Linked DNA regions of Ovis aries. The protein of the gene in region 3 purifies or fractionates together with the protein of the main gene of each other region. This does not show direct contact. Links are inferred from orthologs where the notes say so. Each region holds a gene or a part of one and is shown on either strand. Other genes may lie near its edges. The genes, in order: XXYLT1, METTL9, SLC30A1, CLGN and CSGALNACT2.

Evidence for each region.
Region 1: the proteins of SLC30A1 (region 3) and XXYLT1 purify together in Homo sapiens (co-immunoprecipitation; 3 studies listed by BioGRID and IntAct, with this or other methods). This does not show direct contact. The link is inferred for Ovis aries from reciprocal best matches to the Homo sapiens genes SLC30A1 and XXYLT1.
Region 2: the proteins of SLC30A1 (region 3) and METTL9 purify together in Homo sapiens (co-immunoprecipitation; 3 studies listed by BioGRID and IntAct, with this or other methods). This does not show direct contact. The link is inferred for Ovis aries from reciprocal best matches to the Homo sapiens genes SLC30A1 and METTL9.
Region 4: the proteins of SLC30A1 (region 3) and CLGN purify together in Homo sapiens (co-immunoprecipitation; 3 studies listed by BioGRID and IntAct, with this or other methods). This does not show direct contact. The link is inferred for Ovis aries from reciprocal best matches to the Homo sapiens genes SLC30A1 and CLGN.
Region 5: the proteins of SLC30A1 (region 3) and CSGALNACT2 purify together in Homo sapiens (co-immunoprecipitation; 3 studies listed by BioGRID and IntAct, counting the BioPlex papers as one, with this or other methods). This does not show direct contact. The link is inferred for Ovis aries from reciprocal best matches to the Homo sapiens genes SLC30A1 and CSGALNACT2.

What each region holds. Positions count from the first base shown.
Region 1 is NC_056054.1:193,169,065-193,173,510, reverse strand, and holds part of XXYLT1 (xyloside xylosyltransferase 1), read right to left. Parts: intron 3,285-4,446; coding exon 3,137-3,284; intron 1-3,136. UniProt on the Homo sapiens protein: Alpha-1,3-xylosyltransferase, which elongates the O-linked xylose-glucose disaccharide attached to EGF-like repeats in the extracellular domain of target proteins by catalyzing the addition of the second xylose.
Region 2 is NC_056077.1:20,676,108-20,680,553, forward strand, and holds part of METTL9 (protein-L-histidine N-pros-methyltransferase), read left to right. Parts: intron 1-698; coding exon 699-883; intron 884-4,446. UniProt on the Homo sapiens protein: Protein-histidine N-methyltransferase that specifically catalyzes 1-methylhistidine (pros-methylhistidine) methylation of target proteins.
Region 3 is NC_056065.1:71,351,364-71,356,609, forward strand, and holds the start of SLC30A1 (proton-coupled zinc antiporter SLC30A1), read left to right. Parts: upstream 1-2,094; 5' UTR 2,095-2,564; coding exon 2,565-3,180; exon of another isoform or gene 3,181-3,274; intron 3,275-4,947; coding exon 4,948-5,246. UniProt on the Homo sapiens protein: Zinc ion:proton antiporter that could function at the plasma membrane mediating zinc efflux from cells against its electrochemical gradient protecting them from intracellular zinc accumulation and toxicity.
Region 4 is NC_056070.1:17,388,085-17,392,530, reverse strand, and holds part of CLGN (calmegin), read right to left. Parts: intron 2,590-4,446; coding exon 2,476-2,589; intron 2,357-2,475; coding exon 2,206-2,356; intron 597-2,205; coding exon 381-596; intron 1-380. UniProt on the Homo sapiens protein: Functions during spermatogenesis as a chaperone for a range of client proteins that are important for sperm adhesion onto the egg zona pellucida and for subsequent penetration of the zona pellucida.
Region 5 is NC_056078.1:12,883,602-12,888,047, forward strand, and holds part of CSGALNACT2 (chondroitin sulfate N-acetylgalactosaminyltransferase 2), read left to right. Parts: intron 1-954; 5' UTR 955-1,125; coding exon 1,126-1,885; intron 1,886-3,928; coding exon 3,929-4,145; intron 4,146-4,446. UniProt on the Homo sapiens protein: Transfers 1,4-N-acetylgalactosamine (GalNAc) from UDP-GalNAc to the non-reducing end of glucuronic acid (GlcUA). Required for addition of the first GalNAc to the core tetrasaccharide linker and for elongation of chondroitin chains.

The DNA.
Region 1 (4,446 bases), on a different chromosome or scaffold from region 3:
TGCAGTTTGCAGATTTTTTTATGAATGTTACTTTAAAATAGAAAAAGTAAACATATTGTAACAGTTTGGGTATTGCATGGTAACACTTATGCTGCAGAAGCTTCCCTGGTGGCTCAGATGGTAAAGAAATCTGTCTGCAGTGCAGGAGACCAGGGTTTGATCCCTGGATGGGAAAGAACCCCTGGAAGAGGAAATGGTAACCCACTCCAGTATTCTTGCCTAGGAAATCCCGTGGACAGAGAAGTCTGGCAGGCTGCAGTCCACTGGGTTTCAAAGAGTCGGACACGACTGAATGACTAATGCTAACTGACTGTGTTTTATAAGGGAGAGGGGAAGAGAGGCGCTATTTCAATACACAGAAATAACCTGGATTTGGGGGACAAACTCCAGACAGGACTTCCTGAGATGTAACTCAAGGGAACACAAGCTTTTCCAAACCAGCCCTCCTGGGTGAGACCAAAGGTTTATGATCCACCCACATCCCATTCTCACTTTCCCAGAGAAAAAAGAACACTGAGAAAGAAACGAAATAAACCAAAATAGCAAGAATGTGGCAATTACACAAGAACCAAATCATCAACAAAGCACAAGACAATAGCAATTTCTATGATTGAAAACAATGGAAACAAAACAAGGCAGCAATAGAGAGACATGACGAACCCAAGACAGCACTAACAGTGCTTTGGAAACCAAGCTCCTTCAGAAAATTACAGGAATTCCAAAGGCTCTGCCCAGGAGGAGTTTTGCAACACTGCCAAGTGTTGTGCAGCGGCCAGACTGCTGGGCGGAAACACCCAAGCTCCGTGGAAGAACTCCAGGACGGCTCGCTTTATTTTATGATCATCAAACTTTAGGAACTCCTAATAATGTGCTTCTTAGGAAGCAGACTTTAGGTGGACGGATAAATGAACCTCTAGCATCATTCACCTAAAAACCCAAGAAAAGTGTCTGTGTTTGGGTCGGCACATCTCACACAGCACCATCCCCACCTCCTGACACTGGCCCCCCCAGGGCCCGTGGAGCACGTGGAGGGACACCTCTGATCTGACCTGTTGCACAGACAGCAAGACCCAGGCCACAGTCTCTTCTCTGAAGATGTGGGCCCAGGGACAGGGCCAGGCTACTGGGCAGGGCAACGTCGGCAAGGCAGACAGGAAGCACCCTGGGTCCCTAACCACAGTCATCGAGGCAGAGAATGGACCCTGGGTCCCTAATTCTTGTCATCTGCACTTAGAGTTCACAGCCTGGTCCTGACCAGCCCCTGGGTGCCCCAAAGCATGACCTGGCCTAGAGCTTAGCATATGATGGGCAGAGACCTACCAGCTGATGAGGGAGGAGGGGAAGGAGAAGGAGGCCTGCCTCCCCCCAGATCCCCTGATGTTCTTCATCACATCTTCTGTCACTGAGCTTCTTTCAAGGCCAATCGTGTGTCCTGCACAACAGGACTGGGCAGGCCCTCAAGGCCCATCTGGTCGAGAATCTCAAGTTGCTAGTTTAACCACAAAACCCTTTGACCAAATAGAATCCTGCTCCCAAGCCTGCTCTACACAGCGACCAAAATGGACTGTGAGGAGTGAGGCGCGGGTGGGAGAGAGAGGATAAGGGTAAGACCCCTCTTCTCTCTACTCCCCAGAACTACAAAATCTCCTAGGGTGATTCCTGGAAGCCTGGACTCTTCACTAGGTCAGCTCCTGCAATTCCAGGTGGGGACAGTGAGGTCTCAGCAAAGGCACACGGGGTCAGCAGCACAGCTGGGACCAGCTCCTATATCTGTCTGCTCCCTGGAATCCAGGAGGGCAGGGCCATAGCTTCCTGCGGGCTGAGATGCCCAGAGCACCTGCACAGGGTCTGCCCAGAGAGATCACACCTGCCCACCTGAGGGGAGAGGAGGGACTGCCAGTCACTCAGCTCCTCGGTCAGCACACACGTGTGTGAGCTCCAGGGCTGTGGGGGACTCGGGGCGCTGCCGGAGCTGCACCTGGTCTCCCCACAGCATCACAAATGTCAGCTCTCCTCCCGCGCCCTTCAGGTGGGTGAGTCCCCTCTCTCTTTGGACCCGCACTCACGAAGCTCCCTGAGCCCTCGCCTGACAGCTAAGAGAACAGGCGGGTGCAGGAACTTGCCCCAGGGAGACAAAGTCTCAGCCAAGATGGATGGGCTAGATTTCCTATGCTAGGACAACCTGCCAACAGGAACCCGGCCTCAGCCTCTGTCTCCTGAGTTCCTGCTTCACCAGGAATTCGGGCAGCGGTGCTCAGCTCCTCTCCCCCTCGGGGCTGCTGGGCAGGAGCAGTGACCTCCCAAGTGGCCAGGCTCACAGTTTGGAGAGCTGCTACCCCAAGATCCCAGAACTCCCCTCCTCACCCCTACAAAGCTCAGCTCATGGCTCACTGTAGCTAGAAATAGGAGTGGGCAGGGGGCAATACCCAGGGCTATTTGGAGGTGAAGAACCCAGAACCTTTATTTGTTCTGTATACCCCACAAATATACCCGGTAAATTTGTCCGGTATACCCCACAAATGAGACCCCCAACCCCCTACAAGGCTTCTAGTCCAAGGATAACCTGCCGGCGCTTCCACACAAGGCTGACCTATCACAGACCAGACAATCCACCTCTTCTGCCCCACAGGGACCAAAGCCCAGAAAATAATTGTGCATCAGAGTTTCAGAAAAAGTCCTCCTAAGTCATAGTGTGCACTTCCAACATCTAGGTTTGATAAGTTAAGTCAGATAAGTACAGGCTCAAACCAGAAAGATCAGGATCACAGACTGAGATACAGTGTCATTTATTCCAACCTGCCATTTTACAAATAAGCAAACTGAGTCTCAGAGAGGTGTGGGTGCGTGAGGAGCAGAGTCAGGGCTGGAGCCCAGGCGCCCCAACTCAGGGTGTCGGTCCTGCACAGCTCACACTGGGGACTCGTGAGTGGGCCCTGGGAGCTGTGCAGCCCAGGGCCCGGCCCTGGAGTCTCTGTGCAGGGAGTGCTGCACACGGAGGCCTTGGCTGCCCCTGCCCTCTCCATCGTGTGGAGTGGAGCTCTGTCTGCTCTCTGATACAGGGCACCAGCAGTACTGGAGCCAGGAAAACAGATGCAAAGTCACAGGCCAGGGCCCACTGCCCCACTGCTCAGGTTACCTTTGGGCATGATCTGATGCATGGCCACTGAGAGGAAGAAGATGGAGTCGCTGTAGTAGGTCCCAGAGCCAGCACTGAAGTGCTTCTGCATAGCCTCCACGACAGGGAAGAGCTTGTCTGTCAGCACACCAACATCGTGAAAGACGACCTGCAGGAGGGCACAGGGAACGACAAGAGTGAGCACCCCAGGCGGGGACCCAGGACACACACGGGCCGTGGACAGGACAGATATGGCCTCTCCAGGGCCCACAAGAGAGGGACATGGAATCTCGAAGAGCTAAGGAAACGGGGAACAATGGGGAGTCAGCAGAGTCCAGCAGTGGGGATGGGGCACCAAGTGTGAGGATGTGTAGGCAGACACGTGGGGCACAGTGGAAGAGGAGTGGGCGCCAGGGAACGGGAGCTGCCCCCGGTCTGCCTCTGGTTCTGCAATTCAGACTGCGCCACACTGGAGGAAGCTCTGTGCCCAGAGACTGGAAACCAAGTTAAAGGGTCTGGTCATGAAGTGAGGACCTTCAGCAAGTCTGGGGGCCTGGCACTGGCTCCAGCGTCGCCTGGAGGACACTACACGTGTTCTGCGTCGCAGTCAGACATTCCACCTCCCTGCCAACAGTGTGACAGGGAGAGGATCTGGCCACTAGAAAATGAAAAATGCCTGGAGATGCAGTCAACTCATCCATTGACTCAACTACCATTTCTTGAGTGTCCCAGACACTCTGGAGGTGCTGAGAGAGGTATCAGGAGAAACCAGGCACCACTTTCCTCAAAACACGTAGAGTCTAGAGAGGTCACCAGCAGCTCTGTCACAGGGCTCTGCAATTTATGAAACCCTCTCACACACACACAGATCCCCACCACAATCTGGCCTTCAGCAGGCAGACATCCAACTACAACTGAGAAAGTAGGTACTCAGAGACGTTACACTCGTCCAAGATCACAGCGCTAACAACTGCCAGAGCCAGAACTGAACCGTGGCCTCCAGACTCCAAGCCTTACACTCTTTCGTCTCCACACAGCTCCTCTTTTCCAGTGACCCACAGAAGAAAACATCAGCAAGATCAGCAATTAGAGACAGGAGAGCCTCCTGAGTCAGCTTCCCTTGTTTGGCATTATTCCAGATGATCAGCCCATCCCACAGAGAGCCCCAGCCTCACATGAGACATAGATTACCATGCGCTCTGCTCACATACGTCTTGCAAGCCTTCCCTGTTGCTCGTGTGCCCCGCAACACCCAGCACATTCCACTGCAGACAAAAGGAGCTCAATAAATGCACCCAGGCCGGAGCCCAGATGTCCCTCCTCCTCCTCCT
Region 2 (4,446 bases), on a different chromosome or scaffold from region 3:
ATCATAGGTTGTAAATGGAAAATATCTTATATCACCCTGCTGCTGCTGCTGCTAAGTTGCGTCAGTCGTGTCTGACTCTGTGCGACCCCATAGACGGCAGCCCACCAGGCTCCCCAATCCCTGGGATTCTCCAGGCAAGAACACTGGAGTGGGTTGCCATTTCCTTCTCCAATGCATGACAGTGAAAAGTGAAAGTGAAGTGAAATCGCTCAATCGTGTCCAACTCTTAGCGACCCCATGGACTGCAGCCCATCCTATCAGGCTCCTCAATCCATGGGATTTCCCAGGCAAGAGTACTGGAGTGGGCTGCCATTGCCTTCTGCCATTCTTAAAATAGGAGGCACCCTAGGAATCTACAATTACATCCCAGTGAAAGTAAAAGTAGAATTCTTTGTTCGTTAATTGATGTTCAAGAATTTGATGCTCTAGTTTCATAACCATTTTTATCATCTATATCTTTGTACTTATTCAACATACTAATTCTTACAAAGGAAACTTTGTATGTTTTGGAAATAGGTAAAATGTTGAATTTAAAGAAATATGGTTGTTTATTTTTGCATGGCCATATTATTACTGCAAATATAAATTGTAAATGAAGATTTTGAACTTACTTTGATTTGGAAGACAAAGTCTTTATTGGCATCTAAATGTTTTTAAAGATGTCTTTAAGGGTTTTTGTATCTTTCTAATTTTTCCAGAGTGCTTGGTATAAATGAATGGCAGAAGACAGGGTTCCAGTATGATGTCATCAGCTGCTTAAATTTGCTGGACCGCTGTGATCAGCCTCTGACTTTGTTAAAAGATATCAGAAGTGTCTTGGAGCCAACCAGAGGCAGGGTCATCCTTGCTCTGGTCTTACCCTTTCATCCCTATGTGGAGAACGGTAAGTGTGGACACCCACTTAGTAGGCCTATTATCCAGCACTGGTGTTTGTGATTCTGTGCTGTGCACAATTAGACATGATCTGGTATTTCTTAGAATACCCTGATATTTAACAAAGTACAGTTAACCCATGTAAAATATCGCCTCAGTTAACTTTTGTCTTAATGTGGATTTTATAGTGCTCTCTTTGTACTCTCTTTGCAGTGATAATAATTAATACTGAGCTGGATTTGCCTGCTCAAGATTAAAAGCCTGAAATGCTGTTAAATGGAGCTTTCGCCACTAACTTATTAGCTTTTTGAGCTGAGTCAAGCAGTAAATGATGCCTTTTAATCTATCTGAATATACTTGTTAAATGTCATAGCTATCTTGTATTTTACATCTCTTGTCCCTAAAATGATAAATGCTATTGTTATCCATTTTCCCTTTAGAAGACCATTTGTGTCCCAACGCGTATCATTTCTTTGACGTTTGGTTTTTCAGTCACATGGTCTTACTCTTTAACAATACTGAATGAAGAATATCTCAGAAGAAATGGTTGGATTTTATACTGCCTCATATTTATTATGACTTTTGGCCATAGTCACATTAATTCACACTTGGCTTTAACTTATTTGATTTGCATTTTAGATCATGTTGAAAGTTTTGACTTTAAGCCTCATTTGCATTTTTGTAAGTTATTGTACAATAATGTAAAATTTATTTATTATATAAGTAACACATGTTAATATTTGAAAATCTTTTCCTCTTTTACTGCCTTGTTCAACTTTGGGTTCAAATAAATCTTTAAGAACTTGTTGGCATTCTTGAGAAGTCCAGTAATATTTTGCTAGCATCATAGTTATCAAATACCTGTAAAAATCTTCATCCTAAGGAATAATGCTCAAGTTTGCTTATAACCATGGATTTGTGTTGCCACTCACTTGCCCCTTTGTTTCTTCTTGTTCTTATTTTTTTCCCCCATCAGGTCTTAGTTCCTTCTAATTCAGTGCTTGTCTTTAACGTTTACCAAATGTTTGTGGATTTGTTGTTGATGGTGGGGAAAATGGAGAATTCTTTAGACATAGGAAGGTAGAAAGAGGATAGATAGAATAGATGTCGTCCCCTCCCGCCCCTACATCTAGCATCTCCATTTTTACATTCCTTTGTTGAGCCATTTTGTCATGGTAAAGAAAAAACTGCTTGAACATGTGAGTACCACACCACGCATAAGTTTGTGGGGTAGGGAAATGTCACCCTTGATAGTTCAGTGGCCTGACCTGTTTCAGTGCTGTTCCCTCGGTAGTTATACCACGGCTCCCTCTCACTGCATTGCCATCACTAGTCATCAGCTGGCAGGTCTGGGTTTCTTGTGTCCTGTTGGGCAACCACATGATGGAACTTTAATGCTATTTCCTGGCATAGCAGGAGGTGGACATGAGCAGGGGAAGAAACGTCAGTCTAAACATGAAATCTATTTCCTTGTGTTTCTGACACTAAAAATTGAGAGGACATTAAACTGGACAAGAGGGCAGACTCTAGTAAAGGTCTGAAAACAGACTCCTTGCTTGTGGATGTGCCGAATTGCCTGTTCAATTCAAGTGGTCTGGTGTGTGACATAGAGCAAACCTGAGATGCAGAGCCTTGTTGCTGTGGGTGACCTTTAGTGACCTATAAGTTTTGTAGACTGCTTGTGGTACTCCGTTATTGCTTCCTTTCTCTGAGTTAGATCCTGATGATTTCCATGTGACCCCATGTGAAGACTTATGAGGTACAAAGTGATCTTGCTGTGTGAGTTCATGAATACAGGACTGGTTTAAGAATATCTGAGTGTACTTTGCATTCTGAATCAATTTATTTTAACAAAAGCAATTGTAGATGAAGTAATTACTGGTATAGTTTTTTTGATTGGTCTTAAAGTTGAACAACAGCAATTTTATTGCTTAGATCAATTTAGGGGAAAAATGCAAGATATATCTTTTTAATTTCAGTTTGTTTGGTGTACTGACCCAGTTCTGGTTAGGGGTTAAATCTCACTAGAATTGTTTCAAGCATCAAAAAGGGGGAAAGTATGTAATCAAGAAAAGGAGACTTATATTGCAAAAATTTATATTGAAAATTTAGTAAAGTTTAATTTTTTTAAATTGTGATTTTTGTAAAAAGGTAATTCATGGTTAAAAAAAAAAAGTGTTAAGCAGCTTCCTAGAGAGTATATAATGAATTTTCTTATCCACTCCAGTTCCACAATCTTGTTCACGTTTCTTGACTATTTTTCTAAAGATAGTCTATGCAACTATGCTTGGACATGAAAAAAATTGATTCTATAATCCAAGCCCATTATAAATACTTTTGTTGCCCTTTTTCGCTTAAGTATATCTAGGAAATTATTCGTAAGTGTCTATGTCCTTGTCTGCGTGTAAGCATTGGTGTGCTGGAGCTGGTTTTATAGGCTCAGGAGAGCTGATTGTTGTATTGGCAGGAATTTAGTGAGCTGGTTGTTAAACTTGGCCATTATTGAAGTTGACCTCGAGGGGAGTACTTACACCATGGAAACGGGCAAACTCTACAAATAGACTCTCCCTTCTTCTAGCTCATTGGTAAACATTTACCAGTACACCGCTGGGCATTGGTAACTTTTACTTGATGAGGCCTCTGTTGACGTACTTATGGATACTGGCAGTTTGCTTTGTAAAGACAAGTGAAATGAATATTCTTAGGCAAGTCTTCCACACATGTGTAAGTAGGTATCGGGATGTTATCTGTTTCAAGAAACAGAAGAAGCAACTGAAAAATAAGAGTTTATCTTAGAAGAGTGATTCCAGGGTTGGTTAATTCAGTGATGAAAGCACCCACTGAAGTTCAGAACTTGCTTTCATTTCTTCATCTTCCGTGTGTTGACATCCCCCGAAGTTACAAAATGGCTGATGCGGCGCCAGGCATCATGTGTAGGCATGACAGAGCCTGGGAAAGAAAGAAGCATTTTCTCCCATACTTTTTTTTTTTTAAAGTGAGGGAAACCTTTTCCAGAAATCTCCCTGGTACATCACACTTTAGGTCCCATCAATCCCTGGGCCAGGAAGAACCCTTGGAGTAGGAAATGGCAACCCACTCCAATATTCTTTCTTGGAAAATTCCACGGACAGAGGAGCCTGGCAGACCGTGTAGTCCATGGGGTCTCAAAGAACTTTTGTCTTCATGGAGCTTGGTTCTAGTGAGGAAGACAGATGGTAAACAAATGGCATGTTGTTGGTGATAAGTGTTACGAATAAAAATAAACAATAAAGGTAAAAAAGGGGCTTCTTGGGATTGGGAGTTGGGTTTAGGTGCTGTAATTTTAAAGAGGATGCTCACGGAAAGACCTCATTGAGACGGTGATGTAGGGAAAAGGCTGAAGGAAGTAATGTTTAAGATTGTCTGGATGATACATTTCTAGGAGTGGAACTCCTTGTTAAAGAGTTAGTTTTCCAAATAGCTACTCTGTGACCCTAGTACCATTTATTGAATAATCTTTCCCTAATGCTTTGACATGCCACCCTTATCATGTATCATGTGTGTTAAGTCACTTCAGTTGTGTCTGACTCTTTG
Region 3 (5,246 bases):
CAGCAGCTCCCAATAGGAGGCAAAATGGTCTTCCACTGCCTCCTGGCCATTTCCGTGGGATATCTTGACCCACACGTGGCTCCTCAGTGTCTATATAGGAGGACCTGATTTGGAGGAGGTTTGAGGCTGTATTCATATACATGAATTCACAAACATCCATTGTCTTCACCAAGGGAGAGAAGATTATGGAAGTCCCCAATCCCATCTCCCCACTCCTTAGCAGTGCCACCATCCAGACTTCACTGAAAATTCAGCACATTAAAAAACAGGCTCAGTATTTTCTCCTTAAGAGCAGCTCCTTGCACACCCTTTCCAACTTCTCCACCTGTTTTAAGCAATATGTTCCTTGTTGGGTTAAAAACTATGTTTTTAAAATTCTCCTCATCAGCTTTCACTCTCCCAATACCCAATTAATCAAGTCCTGTCAATTCTTGCTCAATAAATATCTCAGGAAGTTTCCTCCATTCTTTTGCATTCTGGAAGAACAGAAATAGAAGAGGATCTGGCTCTCTAGTCTGGATGGTGAGATGAGAAACACCATATACAAGTGAATAAACTTTTCTAGAAATAATATTTTTTTAAATGCAAAAATACATGGCCCCAAACAAGCCTTATATACAGACCCTGAGGCACTGGCTAGCACTGTCTTTGTCTCCCAGCAATCCAGAGCAGTTGGAGGTCCTTTTCGCTGTTGAGGGGCCGAGTGAGGCCTTTGGGAGTCCAGTTCAGGCCACTCTGACTCTAGCCACCCCTCCACTTTCAAGAAGCCTTCACTTTCAAGTTAGCTAGTCTTCATTCAGAGCACAGCAAGGTATGTATCCAATCTGAAGCAGTGTTGGCACAATTTATCAGGAGTATTTCACCGTAATTTAAAATTTTATATATTTCACCTCCACCTGGACAGAAGCTTATTCCGTATTCTCACTGCCCCTCCCGTTCCCCATAGCAACCAACACTGGGTTCTGCTGTTTGTAGTGTATAAATACAATGTTTAAGTCTTAGAGCCTTAGAATTTTAAAGTCAGGGGGAATCTTAAGATCTCCTCTTGTTCAGTCCTTTACTCTCCATAGACGAAGAAACAGGTCTAGAGAGACCGGCTGACTTGCCCAAAGTCACCCAGCTGGCTAGTGGCAAAGCAAGAACCAGAACCCAGGTTTCTCCTGCTCTAAGTCTGCACCCTGAATGATCCTTAGATAATCAGTGACAGAAATATCTGACTTCACACAAGGTCTCCGGGCGATGGTGGCGATAGGGGGTGATTTGCTTTATTGAAACATTTACAAAGATTCCATTCAACGCCTCGCAGGACCGTCCTGGACGAACTCCTCAACTCGGTGTTGAGCAGTCACAAGTTACGTGCTGCACTTGTTTATGAGTCTGTCGGCCCTAATCGCGGTTCTTCTGACAGAAGCGCGTCCCCGAGCCTCCCGCCGCCCCTCACACTGGGGCTCCCCCTCCTGGCCCCTCCCAGGCTGCCGACTGTCACACGGCGGCCGAGCGGCCCGCCCCACGTGGACCCGGCTGGGAGGATCAAAGTCTGTTTGCTGGCTGGCCCCCGGCAGGTGTGAGGTGGGCTGCTAGGACCCGCAGCGCCTGGACAAGAGGCCCGCCACGCCGCGGGGACCCCGCCTGCCTCGCCCTGCCCCTCCCCCTCCTGCTGCACGCGGCCCGCGCCCCCTACCCTCCCCCACGACGCCCGTCGCTGCACCCGGCCGCGGCCCCCGGCCCACGCCCGGCTCCTGAAGGGAAAGGCCCCGCCCCCATCTGTTGAAGCCGCGACACCGCCTCCTCCCCGCCCCTCTGAGCCTCCGCCCAATAGCGAGCGCGGGTGGGCGGGACGCGGCGGCTGTCGTGAGGGGGTTCTGGCCAATGAGAAGACGTGCCGGGCCTGGTGGGCGGGGCGGCGAGGCCTTGTCACGCTCGGGTCCGTGTGAAAACGGGGGTTCCGAGTGCAAAGCAAAGTTTTTTTGTAAACCGTCTGCAAAGGCGGGGGGGGTGGCGGGTGGCGAAGAAGGCGCCCGACACCGGGCCGAGTGCAGCAGCCGTGGCCGCCGCCTCTTTAGCTCTTCAGGCGTCGCCTCCTCGGTCCGCGCCACACCGGAGGAAGACCGCCGGAGGGGAAGACCTGCGCGGAGAACCCGCAGATGCTTGGAGCCTCCTCAGCGCTGAGCTGCCGGTCGCCCGCCCCCGCCGCCCGCCCGCCCGCTCCCTCTCCGGCTCTCTGTCGGCGGGCTTCGGGAGCCCCAGCTCCCTGCCGCCTCCGCCGCCGCCCCGCTGTGGGTGTGGGGGGCTGCTGGGGCTGAGCCGGGCCTCGGCGCCGGCTCCGAGGACGGACGCCTGAGGAGGAGCTGCGCGCCGCTGGCCGGCCGGGGACGCCCGCAGGCGCGGGGGCTCGGCGGCTAGACCCCGGGCTCGCCCGCTCCTGTCCAGTCACCGAGGCCCCGCGGCAGACTCCCGAGCCCCGCGCCGCTCGCCCTCCCTCCCTCCGTCGCCGGCTCCTCGGCGCCTCGCCGCCTCCTCAGGAGTGTCCGGGCCGCGCTCGGGCGGGCTCCTCAGCCGCAGCCATGGGGTGCTGGGGTCGAAACCGGGGCCGGCTGCTCTGCATGCTGTTACTGACCTTCATGTTCATGGTCCTGGAGGTGGTGGTGAGCCGGGTGACCACGTCCCTGGCGATGCTCTCCGACTCCTTCCACATGCTGTCGGACGTGCTGGCGCTGGTGGTGGCGCTGGTGGCCGAGCGCTTCGCCCGGCGGACCCACGCCACCCAGAAGAACACCTTCGGCTGGATCCGGGCGGAGGTGATGGGGGCTCTGGTGAACGCCATCTTCCTGACCGGCCTCTGCTTCGCCATCCTGCTGGAGGCCATCGAGCGCTTCATCGAGCCGCACGAGATGCAGCAGCCACTGGTGGTCTTCGGGGTCGGCGTGGCGGGGCTGGTGGTCAACGTGCTGGGGCTCTGTCTCTTTCACCACCACAGCGGCTTCGGCGACGACTCCAGCCACAGCCACTCGCACGGGGGGCACAGCCACGGCCTCCCCAAGGGGGCCCGCAGCAAGAGCAGCCGCGCCGGGGGTAGCGACGACGCCGTGACCCCGGGCGAGCAGGGTCCCGACCAGGAGGAGACCAACATCCTGGTGGCCAACAGCAGCAACTCCAACGGGCTGAAATTGGACCAGACAGGTGAGGAGAGAAAAGTCGCCGCCGCAGGTGGTTGGCCCTGGGGAGCCCAGACCCCGGGATGGCCCCGGGCGGGGTGGCCCGCACGCCCCCTGGCGCCCGAGCCGACCGCGCCGCGCCGCCTCGGGGCCGCTCGTTGCCGGGCGGGCTCCCGCACCTGCGGGGAAGCCGCCGAAACAGACGACCCCCTCCACCCCCGCTCCCCGCTGTCAGCCGGGTGTCAGGAGCCGGGGAAGTGCGTCCTCCGCCCCCATATGGGGGTGTAGATGGCACCGCGGTGGTGAGAGCGGGCAAAAGGTCAGGAGGTGACCCTCAGCCCGCTGCGGTCCGCAGCTGCACTTGGCAGTCTCTTACGGGCTGTCGTTCCAAGAGACTGTCTGATTTTGGCGTTAGCAGGATCAGCAATGCTTCCTAATTAAATTTCTTGGCCCTCTTGGAAAACCGGAGAGAATCTCGATTTGATCCTTAGTTGTTGGATGTTTGGAACCTTGCTCTGTCCAAGTAGCGCTTTTGCCCTTCAAACAAGTTTCTTAATGTTGTATTCAGAGCGATCTTAGTGATTGTCTTTCCTGAACTCAAAATCTTGGTTAAAGGTTTCTGTTATGAACAGCAATGCATGTTTCGGTTAATTTTCTAAAGTCTAAACCCAATCCTGAAAATCCTAGACTTAAGACCTGTCTGGGCATGTTTTTTGGGTTTTTTTTTTTTTTTTTTTTTTTGCGGAAGGCATGTTTTAACATTTCACTTAGGATTTGTCGTTTCTGTACTAAGGTAAAAGTGATGATAATTTATTCATCTTATATTTTTAATGTGTAGTTTTCATTCTAAACATTAAGTGCTCTTGGAAGGAAATTGGGAAATAGGTGTTGAAAGAGGAGATGGGAAAAGGAATCATCCTAATGCCCTACTAACCAATCTCAGTGATATTTTTAATAGCTTGGTGTATTTCCTCCCACTGTTTTCCATTTATATGGAAATATCAATTTCTGTTTACCTATTTGTGTGAAACCACACACGCATGACACTACATAGACAATTTTCCTCTTTCTAGGATTCAGGATATCATGTTAATGAAATTGAAGTTGTACATTGAAAACGTTTAATAAACAATTGAATTTCCTCTCACTTCTACTCTGCAAGGAGTTATTCCAAAGAATATTAAGCTGTTCTGGTGTGTATAATTCCTTAAAAGGAGCTAGTAGGATAGATAGTGATCATTTAGTTCCAACTTTTCGTGAAGTCTCTGTGTGATTGTTGATAGGCTTATATGGTTGATTTGTCAGTTTCTAAACCCCTTCTATCAAGGGACTCTTATCATTTATAAGTGACAAAAGTCTAAAAGTTAACCTTAACGCTTTAATGATGAAAAGTGACTAGAGCTCTGTGTCAGGTCAGCTGTTTGTATTAGACTTATCCATAGTTGCATATGATTTGGGGGTGATAGCATTCAATTTTGTTGTTTTTGATATATACCAACAAGTATAGAATGTTCCCAGGACCCCACAGAAAAGGTAAACTTCATTTGGAAGTGGGAAGGTAGGAGGTTGGAGTATGAGAAAGGAGTATCATCTTAATGATGATACTTAATTTACCCCTGACCATATATCCTGGCCTGTACCCAGTATGTCAACTTATATTAAATTGCTCTGAGCACATTTCTTCGTATGTTTTATGAAAAATTTTCACCTCCATCTCTTAAATGGAATTAGGCAAGAATGTTTATATAAACACTTAAGATGTGTTTGATACAGAATTTTTATTTCTTTGTAGATCCAGAAAAGTCCAGAAATGATGCAATGGAAGTACAAGTGAATGGGAATCTTATCAGAGAACCCGAAGAGGTGGAATTGGAAGAGGATGAAGATAAGACTGGACAACTTAACATGCGTGGAGTTTTTCTGCATGTCTTTGGAGATGCTTTGGGTTCAGTGATTGTGGTAGTAAATGCCTTAGTCTTTTACTTTAATTGGAAAGGTTGTCCTGAAGGGGAGATTTGTGTGAACCCATGTACACCTGACCCCTGCAAAGCATTTGTAGAATTAGTTAATAGTACTCAGGCAACAGTTCAA
Region 4 (4,446 bases), on a different chromosome or scaffold from region 3:
ACTCCTCTAAGTGAAAAGTAGTTAAAATGAATAAAGATTTAGATTTCTGTTCCCACTTAGGCCTTAAACTGATAAGGTGACAAGATATTAAGTCTCATTTCTAACAGTAGTAATAACCGTCTCATTTCTATAAACATCAAAAGGCATTCAATCCATTTATGTTATCATAATCTAACAAATGAAAAGAAGACATATATAATTCACTATATAGTTTATAATGAAGTTATAATTTGGTGAAGCTCATATTCTGTCTACATAGATTTAAATATGTTTCTTCATCATTTAGTAATTATTGTATCTATTGACTCATCAAAAGGCCATCTGTATAACCTATAACCAGGACGATACCCTATTATTATCATATGCTAAATACTGTGTACCTCATTAGCATTTTCTATCAGTATCTTCACTCCCCAACCATCTGCAGCCCAGCGGTCTGCTACTTCCTTTTCTGAACAGATAATAAAATTATCAAAGTAGATATCAGAGGTCATGGACCAAAGCTCTAAACCAAGAGCACGGAAAGAAGTCAGAAGAAATGGGTGATTGTCTTCAAAATAATCTGGATTAGGAATTTTTCGAGGACTCCAGACACCCTGGAAAAAAAATAATTTAAATACATTTTCAAACAATAATTTCATTATAAGTGTTACTCAAGAAGCAGTTGCTGTTGAATGAAATTAGCAATACTAACTGGGAAAAAGAAAACTTTAACTGATAATTAATTCATTAGTAATTCACTAGAAATAAAATCTTGTTTCCTCTTATCCTGTACACGATGTTACCTATGAATAATACTGACTTTAAACTCAGCAAAAAAAAGAGGCAGAGTGAAAAATCCCACAGAAACTTGAGTATTTAAATTTCACAACTGATACTATATTAGATGAGTTTCTTTTTTTACATTTAGTAAAGATACTCAAGGCACGATATCATTAAAATTGCTCAAATCAAAGAGATTACTGTATGGCAAAAATGGAACCATGTCTTTTAACATACACTTATGATGGGCATCAACAGTCACTCATGGTTGAATCACAGAACAATTATTCAACACAGAACTTCCATTAAGTCTTAAATGATTAAAGTCAACCAAAGCAAATAAACTGGCCAATGTGATCACTCACTGACTCAGTCTGCCATCACCTATGACTATTCTGTGCCAGGCACTATGCCACCTGCTCTGCTGTGATAATCAAGGCGGACATGGTCCCTTCATCATGGCGTTTAAAGTCTAATGAAGGAAAGACAGATCTCAGACAAAACAGTTACCAAAACAGTCATTCTATGAAGAAAAACTATGGTGAGCAAAAAGAATCTATAACTGTATGTATATAAAATAAATGTTAGAAAATGTCAGTGAATAATTAGATAAAACTACAGCGTTAAACGGACAACATAAGGACTTCTACCCCAAAAGCTAAGCATACTCAAAAAAATCTGTTTTATATTAGGAAAAAAAATTCAATTTTAATAAAACCTGAGAGTAAGGAACGCATTATTTAAGCACAGACTTCAATTACTAAAATGTACAGTGTGAGTCCTCTTGATCAGAACTCAGTTCTTATATTTAATCCTAAAATAAAATATTCCAAAGTGATGTCAACTGATTACTCAGGAAAATAGTATGAAGTGATTTATCTTTAGTTATTAGTTTTATTACCCCAGGAAATTAAAAGATGCTTTACTTTAAAAAAAAGTATTTATTTATCGGCTGTCTCAGGGCTCTGTGGCTGCACTGACTTTCCCGCTAGATGTGGCAAGTGGGGACAACTCTCTAGTTGCAGAGGGCAGATTGGAGAGAACACTGTGGTGGCCTCTCCTGTTGCAGACCACGGGCTCCTGGGCACACAGGCTTTAGCAGCCGTGGTTCCTGGGCTCTAGCAAACAGGCTCAATAGCTGTGGCATACCGGCTTAGCTTCTCCCCGGCTCGTGAGATGTTCCCTAACCGGGGATCAAACCCGTGTCTCCTGCACTGGCAGGCAGATTCTTTACCACTGAGCCTCCAGGGAAGCAAGCCCCACTTTATTTTTTAAACATAAATTGGTTGCAGTCTATTTTCTTTGACTTCAGATAGCTAAGGCACATTATTATAAACCAAATTTCCTCAAGTTAACATAACATTATTAATAACTAGATGTATAAGAGAAATAGGCACAGCATTTTAAAAAGTTTACTGTGGGACGGGAATAAGTGGTTATTACCTGGTAGTTAGGGTTATCTATCATCGGCGGTCTCCATACTCCTTTGTATTTCGGATTATCTATCATGGGAGGGCTCCATTCACCACACCCAATCCGACATGCTGGGTTAGAAATATGAGGTGCCTCCCATTCTCCATCCATGTCTTCATTCCTTAGGGTATTAGAACAAAGCATGCGGAGTGACCTCAAGACTCCTGTCAGTCATATCAATGGTAACAAAAGAGCATGTAAGAAGCAGGAAACTGACATCTGAAGGTGAAGAATGCTTACCAGTCAAGGGGTTTCTCAGCATGAGGATCAGGAATAAATTTCGGTTCATTATCAAGCCAGCCATCAGGTTTAACAGCACTTGAATCTTCTATTTGGGCAGGTTCACTTTCATCCCTGTAAATACAGTATTTTATGCTAATTACTAATTATTCAAACAGTTAAAAATGCACATTACAGAATTCAGAAGGTACCAATAGGCACTTCCTACCTCTGTGAACAGAAGAGAAGCAAAAAGCAAAGGAGAAAAGGAAAGGTAACACCCATTTGAATGCAGAGTTCTAAAGAATAGCAAGGAGAGACAAGAAAGCCTTCCTCAGTGATCAGTGAAAAGAAATAGAGGCAAACAATAGAATGGGAAAGACTAGAGATCTCTTCAAGAAAATTAGAGATTCCAAGGAAACATTTCACGCAAAGATGGGCTCAATAAAGGACAGAAATGGTAGGGAACTAATGGAAGCAGAAGATATTAAGAAGAGGTGGCAAGAATACACAGAAGAACTATACAAAAAAGATCTTCATGACCCAGATAACCATGATGGTGTGATCACTCACCTAGAGCCAGACATCCTGAAATGTTAAATCAAGTGGGCCTTAGGAAGCATCATTACGAACAAAGCTAGTGGAGGTGACAGAATTCCAGTTGAGCTATTTCAAATCCTAAAGATGACGCTGTGAAAGTGCTGCACTCAACATGCTAGCAAATTTGGAAAACTCAGCAGTGGCCACAGGACTGGAAAAGGTCAATATTCATTCTAATCCCTAAGAAAGGCAATGCCAAAGAATGCTCAAACTACCACACAATTGCACTCATCTCACACGCTAGTAAAGTAATGCTCAAAATTCTCCAAGCCAAGCTTCAGCAATACGTGAACTGTGGACTTCCAGATGTTCAAGTTGGTTTTAGAAAAGGCAGAGGAACCAGAGATCAAATTGCCAACATCTGCTGGATCATCAAAAAAGCAAGAAGAGTTTCAGAAAAAACATTTATTTCTCTTTACTCACTATGCCAAAGCCTTTGACTGTGTGGATCACAATAAACTGTGGAAAATTCTTAAAGAGATGGCAATACCAGACCACCTGACCTGCCTCTTGAGAAATCTGTATGCAGGTCAGGAAGCAAGAGTTAGAACTGGATATGGAACAACAGACTGGTTCCAAATAGGAAAAGGAGTACGTCAAGGCTGTATATTGTCACCCTGCTTATTTAACTTCTATGCAGAGTACATCATGAGAAACACTGGGCTGGAAGAAGCACAAGCTGAAATCAAGATTGCTGGGAGAAATATCAATAACCTCAGATATGTAGATGGCACCACCCTTATGGCAGAAAGTAAAGAGGAACTAAAAGCCTCTTGATGAAAGTGAAAGAGGAGAGTGAAAAAGTTGGCTTAAAGCTCAACATTCAGAAAACTAAGATCATGGCATCTGGTCCTATCACTTCATGGAAAATAGATGGAGAAACAGTGGAAACAGTGGCAGACTTTATTTTGGGGGGGCTCCAAAATCACTGCAGATGGTGACTGCAGCCATGAAATAAAAAGACACTTACTCCTTGGAAGGAAAGTTATGACCAACAGAGACAGCCTATTAAAAAGCAGAGACATTACTTTGCCAACAAAGGTCCATCTAGTCAAGGCTATGGTTTTTCCAGTAGTCATGTATGCATGTGAGGGTTGGACTATAAAGAAAGTTGAGCACCAAAGAATTGATGCATTTTAACTGTGGTGGCAGGAGTCAACGTTGACATTTTAGGAATCAGTAAACTAAAATGGACTGGAATGAGTGAATTTAACTCAGATGACCATTATATCTACTACTGTGGGCAAGAATCCTTTAGAAGAAATGGAGTAGCCATCATAGTCAACAAAAGAGTCCGAAATGCAGTACTTGGATACAATCTCAAAACGACAGAATGATCTGTGTTCGTTTCTAAGGCAAACCATTCAGTACCACAGTAATCCAAGTCTATGC
Region 5 (4,446 bases), on a different chromosome or scaffold from region 3:
CATCGAAGAGCTCACATAACTGGTTGTAGTATGAACGATAGCATGTAATTCTGTAAATTTATAATGGATTCTTTGGAGAAGGGAATGGCAGCCCACTGCAGTATTCTTGCCTGGAGAATTCCATAGACAGAAGAACCTGGTGGGCTATAGTCCATGGGATCGCAGAGTCAGACACAACTGAGCGACTAACCCACATAATGGATTCTTTAATGTTTTCCTGCAGAAAAACATGTTCATGTCTTTATATAGACTCCAAACCTTTCCAGACTTGTAGGAAATCTGTTGCTGTGTAATACAGTGGAAAGAATTATGTGATCTAATGCTCAAATAATCTACTGGAAGAAAGACTTTGGATATAAAAATGTTTCTTAATGTGTTTTCCAGATGTCTGTGGCCTTCTGAAATTGCTTCCCCCCGTGCACTTAATTTTAAGTCTTTTAGATTCACTAAGTTGAGCTATAGAAATTAATAAAGTAGAATGCTTAAATTGAATAAACAGTAAGAAAATCTCTCTCTCTAGAAAGCCATTATCAGTATAACAAAAACAATTCAGCTCCCAAATGGTGATATATTATAATTGGGAAATGGTGAGTTAATTGAAATATTATGTTAGTATAGAGTTATACGTGATGTAATTTACAAATAGTTAGGGACCGATATAATCTGTGTAACACAAACTATGCTAAACGCTAAACATAATTTTAATGTTTTCTTGATTCATTCAAGTTATGGATGTGTAGATATTCTGGTTGAAAGTATTTCATGTATTTTAGTGTTTCAGAAGGTATTTTTCTTAATACTTTCCCCCAGCATTAACTGAATATTATATAGTATATTAGTGGCTCTCATGGTGCTCTGCCTATGATTTCACATAGCTAAGCTTACTAAAGCTGTCAACAGTTTGATATACTTAAGGAAACAAAATTCTGATTGATTCTGATGTGTTTCTTTCAGAAAAATCAACACCCATGGATTTTATCTGACTGTGTAGATCAGGTTTTTTTTATTCTGGATATCACAGTAACAGTATAGGAAATATGCATTATTTCTCATGTCTGCAAGTAGTCCTCACTGCTGAAGGAAGCAATTTTTTAAGCTACAGCCAAATTCATTTTGGTACTTTTTATGGAAATCTTGATTTTGTTTTTACTTTTTTATAACCTTTGGCAAAAGGTATTAACAAGCAAAGAGCTCATCTCATTAGGCAAGTCCACATTAATAAGAATGCCTAGAAGAGGGTTGATTCTTCACACCCGGACCCACTGGCTACTCTTGGGTCTTGCTTTACTCTGCAGTTTGATATTATTTTTATACCTTCTGGAATGTGCCCCCCAGACTGATGGAAATGCATCTCTTCCTGGTATCATTGGGGAAAATTATGGTAAAGAGTATTATCAAGCCCTCCTACAGGAGCAAGAAGAACATTATCAAACCAGAGCAACCAGTCTGAAACGCCAAATTGCCCAACTGAAACAAGAACTACAAGAAATGAGTGAGAAGATGAGATCTTTGCAAGAGAGAAAAAATGTAGGGGCTAATGGCATAAGCTATCAAGGCAACAAAGAACAAGCACCTAGTGATCTTTTAGAGTTTCTTCATTCACAAATTGACAAAGCTGAAGTTAGCATAGGAGCCAAACTACCTAGTGAGTATGGAGTCATTCCCTTTGAAAGTTTTACCTTAATGAAAGTATTCCAGCTGGAAATGGGTCTCACTCGCCATCCTGAGGAAAAGCCAGTTAGAAAAGATAAGCGAGATGAATTGGTAGAAGTTATTGAAGCTGGCTTGGAGGTCATTAATAATCCTGATGAAGATGATGAGCAGGAAGATGAGGATGGTCCCCTTGGAGAGAAACTGATATTTAATGAAAATGACTTCATAGAAGGTAATGTGAAAAATGTGTTGATCTGTTAACATTAGTATGACAAAATTCTGTTATTGTATGCTGATAATATGTCAGAAAAAGTTATAATGTGATCAAAATAAAATAGAAAATAAGAACCAGGGAAATAGAATAAGTCTAAGCTTGTATAGCAGAATACGCCCCAAGTTGAACGGCTCTTAGGGTTGTGTGTGTATTTGCATGTATATGTATTTGCATTCATCTCTGAACTGGTTTTGATGTTCCTTTTTTATATTTTTTAAAATGTATGAACTAAGGCTCAAAATTTGAAAACCATTTGCTAAAGGAAAAAAGAACCTAATTAAGATTAGTGGTAATTCTGTATTTCGAGTGGAGGAGAAACACATGTCAGAACATCAAGGAGGCATACATAATTTTGAAAAGCATATTTGGCATTTGGAAAAGTAAAGAAATAAACCCATTTTCTTAATACAGACTGCAGAAAGGGCACAGCATTTTTATATGTCAAGATGGGACACGACTCAGAAGTTGAGGAGCACTCGTATACATTTAAGAAATTTGATTGATATAATTATAGATTATATCAGGAATAATTATAGGCCCTAACCCATCTCCATCTTATACCCCATGCTAGATATTTAGTTGTAGGCTTAAAGCCGTTTTGAATACAAATATTTCTTAAAAGTTCTCTTTGCATGATTCTGTATGCCACATGTAGTTTTTTGGGTTTTGTTTTTTTTCACCCCAATCTTCATGGGTATCACTTGCTATAATATAATGCCTTCAGCCTTTGGAGGCCGTCACCAAGGGCCTTGTACTTTTCTGTGGCATTTCAGCTATCTTCTCCGTATAGCCATCTCTTTTTACCCCGTCACTTCCTGCAGTTTTTGATGGGTTGTTTCTTTCAAAACTCCTGTAGTTTTTCTGCAGGCTCGGCTTTTTATCTTTTCACTCAGTATGTTTATAGCTTATGGCAGAATTGAAAGCTGCAGAGGAAGTAACTAAGATATGTAAGATGTCTTCGTGTCTTCTTAAAAAGAAAGGAACCTATGCCAGTTTTATATTCTGTAGCTTCTGCTTTTTTTTTTTTAAATATAATTCTCCTGGGATTCTGTCACTTACAGGATTTTTCTCCGTTATGGAACATATTTTGTCCCTTGGTTTTCCTCCATTGTGCCACTTCCCTCATCAGAAAAATAATTACGGACAATGATTTAGTAGCTCCTGTTCCTCTTCCAGACTTCAGCTTAGATGTCACTTCTTCTGGGGAGGTCATCGCCAACCTAAAAGTTTAAGATAACAGTGTTCCTATATGTTCTTATAATCTCTACCCTGTGCCCCCTCTCAGAGCACTGTCCTAATATACCGCATTGCCCATTTCCTGGTTTGTAGTTCTGTTAGACTGTAAGCCTCAGGAGGAAGCTCTTGTTCACCATTTTATTTCCAGATATTGGCTGACTGACACATCTGTAGGTCTAATCTCTCTCCTGAGTGTCACACTTACAAAATCAGATTGCCTAATAGACTTCCAGGCTTTTCTCCCAGAGGCATCTCAGATCACCATGTTTAAACTTACACTAATTTTTCTTCATCTGACTTCATTCTGTTGTGTTTCTGCATGTGTATATCACTATAGTATTATTTCCTTTTTCTGTCTCCATTGCTAGACGGAACTGGGACCATGTAGCCATCTTTATACCATTAGTACCTGACACAGAAGTTGTGACTTTCAGGTCTAGAATTTAATATTGCTAGAAGTAATCTCTTTATTTTCATCATTTGGTTTATGTGTTGATAGATTCTGCTATTAAAAAAAAGTCATGTAAAAAGGAATCATCATCATTTGGAGTAAATTTTATGGATTGAATAATAGAGCAAAATATTTTTTTAATCTTTTGAAGTAGCAGTTTTTACTGACTGTATCATGGGGATAAAATTTTCACAAATGTATAAAAGCTGTACAAGTCTGATTTCACACTTTTGATCGTTGAGTAAAGTCAATAGTCACACTGAATTTGTGAGCTTTGATATGGAGACATCTTTGTTCCTAATTCTTTCCTTTAGGTTATTATCGCACTGAGAAAGATAAGGGCACACAGTATGAACTCTTCTTTAAGAAAGCAGACCTTATGGAATATAGACACGTGACTCTCTTTCGCCCTTTTGGACCTCTCATGAAAGTGAAGAGTGAGATGATTGACATTACTAGATCAATTATTAATATCATTGTGCCACTTGCTGAAAGAACTGAAGCATTTGCACAGTTTATGCAGAACTTCAGGTAATTCCCAGAGCTTAGTGGTTTGGCTAAGTGCTCCTAAAAAAAAAATTCATGCCATTTTATTTAGTTTACCTTCACTGAGTAGGGTTACTTAGAATTGCAGAATAATTTTATAGGCTTTGGGGAACTTTATGTTTTTGATATCCCTTTATTCTTAAGGCATGTATAGTATATTGTGTTATTGACAATTTGAACTGTGAAGTAAATTGAGGGTAACAACTATTAGGAACTAAATTTGATTACTTTTATAATTGTGTTTGAATTCATTTTAGGACAAGTTGAATTTTTAAAAATAACTTTG